Drosophila melanogaster: one gene and its partner. The protein of the gene in region 1 interacts with the protein of each later gene in a pairwise test. Each region holds a gene or a part of one and is shown on either strand. Other genes may lie near its edges.

Evidence for each region.
Region 2: the proteins of CG2247 (region 1) and CG12081 interact in a two-hybrid assay, tested with the Drosophila melanogaster proteins (one large-scale study listed by BioGRID).

What each region holds. Positions count from the first base shown.
Region 1 is NC_004354.4:11,605,768-11,613,199, reverse strand, and holds CG2247 (uncharacterized protein), read left to right. Parts: upstream 1-1,547; 5' UTR 1,548-1,668; intron 1,669-2,365; 5' UTR 2,366-2,371; coding exon 2,372-2,723; intron 2,724-2,786; coding exon 2,787-2,998; intron 2,999-3,486; coding exon 3,487-3,798; intron 3,799-3,892; coding exon 3,893-4,497; intron 4,498-4,559; coding exon 4,560-4,647; intron 4,648-4,700; coding exon 4,701-4,966; intron 4,967-5,047; coding exon 5,048-5,186; intron 5,187-5,244; coding exon 5,245-6,417; 3' UTR 6,418-6,910; downstream 6,911-7,432. Other genes in the region: CG1703 (uncharacterized protein), read right to left, coding at 1-1,022.
Region 2 is NC_004354.4:8,586,966-8,591,274, forward strand, and holds CG12081 (uncharacterized protein), read left to right. Parts: upstream 1-1,845; 5' UTR 1,846-2,185; coding exon 2,186-3,397; 3' UTR 3,398-3,809; downstream 3,810-4,309. Other genes in the region: CG12065 (uncharacterized protein), read left to right, coding at 293-560, 623-1,202.

The DNA of each region.
Region 1 (7,432 bases):
CCAGCGCTCTTCTGCACCTGCGACATGGTGAAATTGTTGTCCAAGTCCGAGTGACCGGCACCACCCTTCTTTGTCATCAGCTCCATTTGGCGTTCGTACTCCTGCTGCTTCTTTTGCTTCTTTTTCTCCTTGTGAGTGAGTTTCTTCTCCTTGGCTTCCTTGCTCTCCTCGAACTTGGAATCTACCTCAGCATCGGCTTCCTCGTCGGGTTGGGGTTCAGACTCGGGTTCGGGCTCGGCCTTGGGTACCGGCTCAGGTGTCTTTTCCTTGAGACTTACTGCCGCCACTTTTTCGCTAAGGACTTGCTCCACTTTCTGCTCCTCCACTTCCTTTTCGGGCTGCTTCTGCTGTTCCTTTTTTGACTCCTTGGCCGCCTTGTTGGACAGCTGTTCCTTCTCCTCCTCTTCGCTGTCATTTGGCAGATCATCGGCAACCTCATCCTCCTCATCATCGCTCATGGCGAACATGTTCTTTTGCTGAGCCTGCTGCTTCTTCTTGGACTTCTTGGAGGCTGGCTTGACAGCAACCACTTCCACCTCATCCTCCTCATTGTCCAGGTCGTCCAAGTCCAGCTCCGGTTTATCTTCGTCCGAGAAATCGTCGTTCTTCTTCTTGTTCTTCTTGTTCTTTTTGCTGGGCTGTGGCTTTTTAGCAGCTGGCTTGGATGCCAGAGGCGCCTCGTCGTCATCTTCATCGTCCAAGTCGTTGGCAGGCAAACTCTTCTCTGGCTTCTCATCCTCGTCGCTCCAGTCATTATTCCTCTTGCCCTTTTTACCCTTCTTGGCCTGCTTTTTGCCGGCAGTCTGCTGTTTGCTCTGATTCGATGAGGCTATGCTCTCCAGATCCTCGTTGTCCCGATTCCTGGTCGTGACATCCTCGTCGCTGGAGTCGCCGCCGCCACCTCCTCGCTTTCCCTTCTTACCACCCTTCTTGCTTGTCGGTGGCTTCTTCTCCTGCACTTTCTCCAGCTGCTCCTCGTCGTCATCAAAGCGCTCCTTCTTCTTACCCTTGGCCTTGGACATGTCTGTGAACACATAGGGATAAAGAGATGCTATTGTATGGCCTATAGTACTTGCATTTAGCGCTTGGACTCACTTGATTTGATCACAGATTACAACAGCCGCCCTCGGATTTCACGTGCAGAGCTGGCAATATGTAGGTGTATATATGTAGGTGTGTAATGTCGCTATATACATATGTACAACCAGTTGTGTCGCCAGGGATGATTGCACGCGATATTTTGTTGTTGGACTATCGATGACAGCACATGGAACGAAACTGTGCGATGGAAAACCCGTTAGGTGTCTCCAAAAATGGCAATTTCGATAAACGTGTCTTTTAGTATTTAAGTGTTGAGATAAATATAAATATATATATAAATATATGTTAAGACATTCGTTTGAATAAAATCTGTGATCTCAGTGAATGTATATGCCGGTAAGTTTTAAAACATATCATATGCTAAAATTTGGTATTTACATGTGTTAGAAAATCCTACAACTCATTCGATAGTATTGAATAATCGTTGTCGAGATTTTCCATCTAACCGAATAATTGTGTGAGTGGAAGTCGACAAGTTAAGTACGCTTGTAGGTTCGTTTTATATTTCCGAAAGAAGTTGTCGTGTTCAGTGTCTTTTCAAGTGAACTTTTTATTTCTTTTACAAAGGTAAGCTCAAAAATTAAAACAAAATTGTTGAGTTCTACATGATTTTGACACGGTTAGCTGAACAATCCGGTGCAGATTTAATAAGCGTCGCATCCACACACACACTTACTTGCAACGCAAGTTCGCGATACGCCGAAGAAGCGGCAAAGCATAGGCTGAAAACACAGTAACAAAGCGAAACGGTCCGAAAGAGTGATAGTAAATTTAACTTAAACGAGAAAAACTGTGTACTTTGTGCCGGCGAAAGTGCAAGAACCCGCTATTCAGTTTTTTCGTATGTGTGCGTCAGGTTTCCTCTCGATCAACAATTGTGGCGATCAAAGCAGAAACGTAAAGAAAACAAACCGCGAAGCCGCGCAACCCTGACACTCGCATAAATTTACATGTGTGTGTGTGTGTGTGTGAGTTGTGTGCAGATTAACCGGCAGAATTCGTTTATTGTAAAGTATTGTATTAAAAAGGGCTAACTCTGATTAGAATTTACATCGCATACTTTTTAAATTAAATGACTTGACAATAAAACGTCGGTTGTGGAAAAAGTGACAACCCAGGTCTTCAGGGTCAATATTTTTGACAGACGAAATTCCATTGAATTGTTTGCCTATCGGTTCCATAAGTGATCACTATTAATGTTTTATGAGAACATATACAACATATATCTAGAAACTTAGCTTATTTTTTTGCACATCGATTCCAGAGCGACATGGATGTGCCCGATGACAATTTTGGGCCGTCAAAGCCGTGTGACAAGCAGCCCTTAGCTGGCAACTCTAGCAGCGCTACCAATTCATCGTCGCATACCGGTGGTAACGGTAACGTTGATTCCGCATTCGAATCATCTACAGCTGCAGGACCTAGTTCCGGCGCCAATCAAAGTAGCACAGGCGGTGCTATAGATGAACAAGGTTCCATTGGTGAACAGAGTGCCGGCGTGGGACAAAACATTATTGAGGGCGACTTGCTGGTGTTAAATGCCAATTCCACAAACGTGGATCTTTCGACTCACCGGGATGGCTCTAGCTTTAAAGACTCGAACACTGAGCAGGGAAAAAAAAGTAAGCATAAATAAATAACCAGCATCTGTAGCATAATAACACATCTCATCTAAACCCACTTAGGTACTATGATTAAGACTTCAAAGACATTAAATGACAAGAGTCAATTTGAACGCCGCAGACGCCGTGGCCGTCAACGTGAACGTCATCGTGAGCCCAGCACGCATCGTGACGATCTTGAACCGTGCGATTTAGGTCTAATGGGATGGACTGGAGAATTCCCAAAGCTAACACCCATATCCAACATCGAAAGCAACTCGGATAAAGAACCGCTGGTGAGTAGAGGGGATGGCGATGCTGTCCAGGACACGAGCTGGCCTGCTGCTGTCTGTTCAAGCTTATAGAACATACCTCTGTATACTCATGTTCAATCCACAAATGGGCTAATTTGAATATCCCTTTCGGTCGGTATTTATTCACAAATACACATAATTAATCAATATAATTTGAGTATAAGTTTATTTTAAAACTTATACTCAAATTACTTTTACCTGTAAAGTAAACTTATGTAAACATAAAAATATTGTAAATAATCTTGGGACGGAAATTTGCATAAATCGAAAGAACTTAAGGTTATTAGATCCCCATAAACTGTTTTTTGACTATTTTTCCAATCAAACTTGGTAACTGGTATACAGAGGTCTATGTTGTGCGGACATCGTTTTGTTTGTTCTATATTATTGTATTTCTCAACACGAAATCGTATCTGTGCTTATCTCAAATCTCAACCAAACAATACACAACATGCACACTACGGCAATAGTCGACGGCCAAGCCAGGTGTACTGCCATGGAGTGGCCTAAAGGTTTTTCCGAGAGTGGAACCACAAGAGGAGACAGCGGCAGGTACAACAAAGCCGGCTCATATCACTAATAAGTCTGAGGAGCAGCAGCAGCAGCCGTCTCTAACAACGCCGATAATGACGTCGCCACTCGACGCCTCCCAGGGGGAATTGGATGCAGCCATTAAAAGCCCTTTGAACGCAAAAAAAAGTCCAAATGCAACTGGTATTGCAACAACATCCAAGTCCAGTACAACACCAACCAACATGCAACCATCAGACTTATACAACCAGGTGGAGACCCTTAAAAAATCTTATGCTAAGAGTCGGAAATTTCACAGATTTACTAACCATTGATCTTCTCTCCCTCTTGTATCTTCCCCCATAGGTTGAAGATAAAAAAGAGGATACCACCAAGAAGCAGGCGGAAGCTGATCATACCTTGCACAAATCACTTAAGGACGCTCGCATCGTAAAACGTTCTATGTCCACCCATTCGCCTCCGGAGCATTCGCGTCGTTCAGTGCGCTTCAGTAGCCATACGCCTCTGACCGATGAGACGAACATAATGAAAGAAACATCCACCGAAACCTCTTTGAAAGTTATTTTCGAACGCCTAAAGCAAACTGGCGTAGAGCGAGATCTCTTTATACCCAGCTCCGAAAATCCCAGGCCTCGCAGCAATGGTAGCCCGGTCCCAAAGGTGGCGGAGATGGAACATGTGGCGGTTGTGAAGTGCAAAACGGTGGCGAAGCAAGGGGCGGTGGTGAAAGGCAAGGCTGGGTTGGCCAACCCGTCCAACGTAATGCCCCAGACGCCTGCCTTAACGGTCACTGGAAAGCGAGTGTCGAAGCCCAAGGTGCCCAAAGGGGCAAGTCCACCGAGTGAGGGCTGGACCTCGACCAGGGCGGTTAAGGGGAATTCTCGGGCAGACTACACCAACAGCAGCTCGTGCGGTTCACCGATTGGTAATACCAACATTCGCAGGCGCAGGTAGATATATTGTATATATATACACATATCAATCTCTATATACTCGGTATTTTCATGTCCAGAGCTCACGCAAAGGCAGCCCCTGATAAGTCAAAGCCTTGTGTGCGCTGCGCGGCTTCTGTTCATCCGTCTGGACCTAAGTTGTGCAAGGTAATTTACGAAATGCTATTGGAGATTCACTGGCTTATAATATCCTCTTTCAGAAGTGTATCTATGAGAAGGGATATGCCAATAAGAAATGGATGAAAAAGACTGGAGGAAATGAGGATCATTATGATGATGACGATGACAGTGACTTCAGCATGATAGAAGTCACTTTGGAAAATGAAATATCCGTTCAACAGGCGGAGAAAAAGCAGTTAGAAAACGTGAATAAGCAGACCGTTATAAAGGAACAAGAGGTTGTTGTAATTGGAGGGCGCAAGGCTATAGCCATCATAGCCGATCCGATTGGTTGCAATCTGAAAGTGTGAGTCGGTTTAGTTCCAAGACCAACGCAAAAAACCTACGAAACGCACAGTTATTTATATGTTTTTCCTCAACTTATCAGGATTCCAAACCGGCAGAATTTGGCTGGCCTTAAAAAGATCTCAAAGGACAAATGTAGCTCCAGTTTGGTGCAGAGCCTGGGCGATTGTCACATCGGATGCCAGATAGTGATGGCCGTTATGAAAATCATGACGATGAAGGTAAAATGTCTAGGTCATCGTAAAATTGAAGTTCGTAATCCCATCCCATCCCATATAGGATCGTGTAAATATGGCGCAGGTTTGCAAAACATGGGCCATGATCAGTCAGGATAAGAGTGTATGGCGCACAGTCATGCTACGCGATACCCATATCAGCAACTGGCCGCGATTTATCCGTGAACTCGCAAATAATTGCACACGCGAACTGGACATGCTGGGCGTGATATTGCCGAATCCTCCGGATATTCTCGCTACACTCGACATTAGCGTCCTGAAAGCATTGCGTGTTCTTCGCACTTGTCCAGTAGATGACCAGTTCCTCTTTAAGGTCTTTCGTGAATTGCCCCAACTGCTGGAGCTAAGGGCAATCTGCTACAGTCCAACTTTTAATTTTTTAAATTTGGCACGACAATGGTCTAAGATTCGCGTGCTTCAAATCTTAATGACGGACCACAGAAGCAAAGTGGAATCACTAGACTCTCTGGGCGACCTGGTGCATCTAACTGAGTTGAATATACGTGGAGTGAATTATATAGGCTCGCAGGACTTCCGCTTCTTGAAGAAACTAGTTAACCTGAAGGTGCTAGTGTTGTCTTCATGCCAGGGCATGGATACCGAGGAATTTGGCCAGCAAGTGCTGCCCTTTTTAACGTCTCTACGCAGGCTCCGCTTGGAGAACAAGCACATGATCAATACCACTTTTCCGCTGTACCACATTATGTGTGGTGTAGCCGCTGCTTGTTCGGTACAGCAACTGGAGCTGGTGAACGTCGAGGTGGATGACCTTCTAACTTCGTTGATTGGAATGTGCACCACTGTTACGCACCTGTTGCTCGTCCCAAAGTGTCTTCAAAATTCGGCCAACGTGATCTATTCCGTAATGCGGGCCGTTCGCGAGAATGCCTCGCAGCTTCGCGTGTTCCGCCTAGGATTGGTTACCCAGCTGTTGAGTGCAACGGGTGAGCTGTACAGGGGAAGTAAGAAGGATGTGATCCCCGTGGAGCGCCCTGTACCGGGAATTCCGCTGGACGATGACCTTAATTATTGTGCTCCCGATGACCGTTGCATTGAAACGGACCACACGGAATGCGTTACCTTTCTGCCCGCCAAGCGCTTGCTGATGATACTGCGCGATGTGGCACCAACAACATTTGTTACGTTTGTTAAGGTGAACATGTTCAACAGCACCATGGTTACCTTCCTCAAACGGCCACAGTTGAAAAACAAGTAAGAACGTTTAACGCACTAGTTATTCCTAGGTGCCATAAGTTAGCTCATATATAAGCCCTCCCAGTAGCAGAGAATGCCAAGACTGAGTCTTCTCGAGAAGCATCACCTCCGAACACCACATTTAAACACACTCTCAACAATATCTTTGAACGACATTCAGTACATTACTTTGTCCCAAGCTGTGAACGATGCAATCAAGCGACGCTGCTTACAAATTGACAGCTTGTAATGAACAGAAAAGAAAAACATGTAAACATAATAAATAAATGGGTTAATTGCTGGATCATACTAAATCGACTTAAACCACTGTTTTGGGAAGTGAACTATAAATTTCACTATAAAAATATAGTACTTATGTAAGATTGCGTGTAAGTAGTTCTGCCTGGTCTTGCTGGTCCTACGAAGGCAAGATCAAAGTTGTACTCATTACATTTGAACATGAATGACACAATTAAAAAAATAAAAATCATACGCAAAACACCCATCTTCTTCGTACAAAGACATTGTTTTTATTACATTTAAATATATAAGATCTTAATAATAAATCTCCAAAAATATACAGTACACTTTGTTTAAAGATATTTCTCGTTTTTCTTGAAAAAAAAAAAATGTCAACGAAATGTGTAATACAAATGCAGCTCTGAGTTTTGTTCTCCGTCGACATTTCGTTGCGCCGCGTCGCGTCATGTGGATCGAGAATACATATAGTAAAATAATTTTTGCTTTTGAGTCGAATAAATGATCCGTATTTGAACCGAAATGAATAAAAACTTCGAATGAATTCGCTTTGCGTTTTTATTGATTGAATATCAGCTTAAGACTGAAACAAATGGTGTGAGAAAATCTTAAATGTACTTGGTTAGTGGGTTGTTTACTTGATCTGCGCGAGAGCGCTTCTTGCTTATGCTTTTGTGCATACATATGAAAAAGAATTCTTATGTGCTACGTGGCTATGTATGTGCCTGCCTAGTGTCTGGGTTTTGGTTACGGCTTAAGTGGATGCGCAATATCGAGTA
Region 2 (4,309 bases), 3.0 Mb from region 1:
TATTGTACATATACACATGTAACTACGTCATTAGACGGATTGATTAGATCCGTCACACACTCGGTTCATTAATTGGTTTATGTTTTGTATTTTGATCGCAAAAGAATATGGGATGTATGGAAAATTATAATTGGTGTTTCTTTTTCTTTTTTTAAATATGATTTGTTCCTTATTTCATGTTCTTTTCATTCCTCTTTGTATAATTTGGTATATATGTATCTATCAATGTCCTGAACGTAAACCGCTTTCTGTAAGCCAATCAATTGATCCAAACTTTCTCTCTACTCCACAGGCGAATCGAATGTGTATACTCTGGGCAATATCGGGGCGCACAGGATCGTGAGCACCAAGCTCCCGTCGGTGGGCAGCAATCGGGAGGCGATGACGGCGACGGGCAATACCACAACCCGTCTGTTGGGCACATTCCAAAAGGTCGACTATGTTTTCATCGTGGGCGTAGCCGGTGGCGTTCCCCACTACACGGACTATAAGAAGCACGTGCGACTGGGCGATGTGGTCATCTCGTATGTGGACAAACAGCGGGCACTGATCAGCAATAGGTAAGTTACACGAATATAAAATCTTCAATCTATCAATCGCATTCATGTATGGCTCTTCACAGCAAGGAGAAACCGTACGTGTACTTGTACAAGAGCGGCGAGGACGTGAAGACCTACTTCCCGGTGAACGATTCGCTGCAGCAGATCGCCGAGAGCCTGCAGGCCAACATGCAGGTGAAGCGGCCGTGGGAGGACTACCTGAACCAGGCCCAACAGGCGTTGGCCCAGAAGACGGATGCCGACTTCAACCGGCCGGACGCGCGGACGGACAAACTGTTTATGAACATTGGAAATAACGAGGTGATCGAGGTGGCCCATCCCATTGCCGCCGACGAGGTGGACGGTGTCAATCGGTTGCGACTCCATCTGGGTCCCATTGGATCCGGAAGGGATCTGGTGAGGAGCGACGAGCTGCGCACCCAGTTCGCCAGGAAGTACGGCCTACTGGCCACCGATGTGGAGATGAGCAGCGTGCTGGACAGCATCATTGGCAATTGCAGAGAGAGCTTTATACTGGTGAAGGGCATCGCTGACTACAAGGACGGCACGTCCACCAGGAAGTGGCAAAACTTCGCTGCCATTTCGGCGGCGTCGGTGGTTAAGTCGGTTATCTGCGGCATGGACGCGCCCACGAATGTATAGGAGGCGGGGCTTCGAATACCCCATTTCCTCCATTACACCCCAACCCCCCCGCCCACCCCTTCCCTGCAATCGTAGCATTTGATTTGCCTCCAATTTTCGTACCAATCCCGCTGCGGCGTCCCTTTATTTTTTTGTGGCCAGACACATGGGGACCACTATTCGTAAACCAAAATGTGCATAGATTGCATCATATATAATGTATGTTCGCGTAATATTGTATTAAATGATTTCTTGTTATTTATTTTGTTATAACTTTTGTACTACAATCAATCTAATTTACACACAAACACTTGACGTATATAAAAACACATATATACAACAGTAAATAAATATCGCAACTAAGCTTGCAAAAACTAAGAATATTCAATGAGAATTTGTGATTGAGTGAAAAAAAGTTCAGGTAAATTGACCAAAGACATTAGAATATTCTAATTCATTGTTTGGAGCTTCATCTTAAAAATCAATCTAGTGTAAATGCACATTGCCATTGCAACTGTTTCGCTAAAATAGCTAAATATTTAATGCAAATACATTGGATTTTCGAATTTGTCATTTTTTAAATGCAATTGTCAATCAGAAATCTATACTATCGATATCGATAACAGCACGACCCAGTGGAGCCCTGCTATTTCGTGCGTCCGCTCACGCACGCAACTCTGTGTGCTTGTGTTGTTCAAAAATTCGATCCGTTTCGTTTCGTTTCAACATCTGGCAAAACTGGCAGAGCGGAGCGCAGCTAGCGCTTGGTATCAGTGTTTATACCTGTGTGGCCTTCAATTGCTCGCACCTGCGCCCGCACCACCCTGCCCCCGCTCCCAAAAGGAGCGACAACTGCGGCGCACTTGCTTTCCTTTGTGTGTTTTGGCTGCTTGGGCTGCTCGGGCAGCTTGGGCCCAAAGCAAAGATCTCCGTCTCCTCGCACAGCACACTGGTGCTACACGGCTCGCAGCCCACAGCGCACAGCTTATCCAGTTGGCCAAGACATGCTGTGGACGGTGCATCTGGACGGTGGGCCACAGCGGGTCAATCACGCAGCGGTGGGCGTGGGCGACTTCATCTACAGCTTTGGTGGCTACTGCACCGGATACGATTATCGCTACAATGAGCCCATCGATGTGCACGCCCTGAATGCACACACAATGCGCTGGACTCTGGTGCCCCAGCAGCTGGACGACGCGGGTGTGCCACTCAAGTATCCGCTGGTGCCCTTCCAGCGCTACGGACACACGGTGGTGGCCTACAAGGATCGCATCTACATTTGGGGCGGTCGCAACGACGAGAATCTCTGCAATACCCTCTACTGCTTCGATCCCAAGACAGCGCAGTGGTCGAGGCCCCAGGTCACTGGCTGTCTACCCGGAGCGCGGGATGGTCACTCGGCCTGTGTCATTGGCAATAGTATGTACATCTTCGGTGGATTCGTCGATGAGATCAACGAGTTCAGCAGCGATGTGCATTCCCTTAATCTGGACACCATGGAGTGGCGCTATGTTCAGACATTTGGCGTGCCGCCCAGCTACAGAGATTTTCATGCGTCGGTGGCCTACGAACAGGAGCGAATGTACATCTTCGGCGGGCGGGGCGATAAGCACAGTCCGTACCACAGCCAGGAGGAGACCTACTGTCACGAGATCGTCTACCTGGACATGAAGACCAAGGTGTGGCATCGACCGTTCACGGCCGGTAAGGTGCCCGTTGGTCGACGCAGCCACAGCATGTTCGTTTACAACAAGCTGATATATGTCTTCGGTGGCTATAATGGCCTGTTGGATCAGCATTTCAACGATCTGTACACCTTCGATCCGCGCACCAAGCTGTGGAACCTGATACGGGCCAACGGCAAGGCACCGACGGCGCGTCGGAGACAGTGCGCCATTGTGATGGGCACTAGGATGTTCCTGTTTGGCGGCACCAGTCCAAGGAGCGGCTCCTCCAGCTCGCCGGCAGCTGTTTCACCCACTCAAGAGACGGGCGGAGCCGCAGCGGCTGGCGGAGTTGTTCCGCCCGGTGTGGCGCTTATCGACTACAGCGATCTGCATGTGCTCGACTTTGAGCCCACTCTAAAAACCCTGGCCACCATGGTGGTGCTCAAGCACCAGCTGGACATCTCGGGGCTGCCAAGGAGCTTCCGCTCGGACCTGCAGATGCTGACACAGCCGAACAGTATTAGCCGGCCCATCAACCAAGCTGGCTAGCGTCCAAAGCCGTAAGGAATAAGCCGGAGTCGACTGCCACAAAATGGAATGAGGTGGAAAAATGGTGTTGAATCACGGAGCCACTAGTCCGGTTCTTTGTATTGGAGCTCGAATAACACTTTCGGGAGAGATGACGAATGGAGGACCTGAGCGAACGAGGGAGAAGCCCCAGTAATTACAAAAGTTTTAGAAACTTGCTTTTGGTACTTCTGATAGCTGCTAAATAATACACAATAATTATGACCATGCGAATGTAGAATATAGTTCATGAAACATTTATAAATCGTCCTCAAATAATACACAATAATAATGACTATGCGAGTATAGAATATAGTTGATGAAACATTTATAAATCGTCCTTTCGCCAAAATGCCCGATAAGAAAATGAATATAATATCTTAAACTCATTAATCATATTATTCAGTTTTGTTTACTTTGCCTTCTTGCTGAATTTTGTATAGCTGGTTAACTTAACACTATATTAATCTGTGGGCCGTTCATTGCGAACTCCAAACTTGCACGAGTCGGCTGTTTAAATATTTGCTTTTCGCATTAGGATCTATGTGGCAGCCGTTTCGTTAATTTAGACACTTTCAAACCGCCAAGGTATTCATCTCACCTTGGAATTACCTAATCTATTTTTGCGGTCAAACTAGTGACAAATCTCTATAACTAATTTACAGAGATCATCTCCTTTTAGGCAGTGTATGCATATATATATATATATGGTAATTGTGGATGTAACTCCCCTTGAACGCGGTGTTCCAGGCAGGAAACAGTCATCGAATCACTTGAAAGCAACAGCCTCGCACGCAATGCCAGTAAGAGTAAGGTCAGCAGCGCTCTAATTGCCTATTATGAGTGGTAGTTGCAACGCAAGGCCTCCAGGTGCGGAACACAGCGAGTACTTGG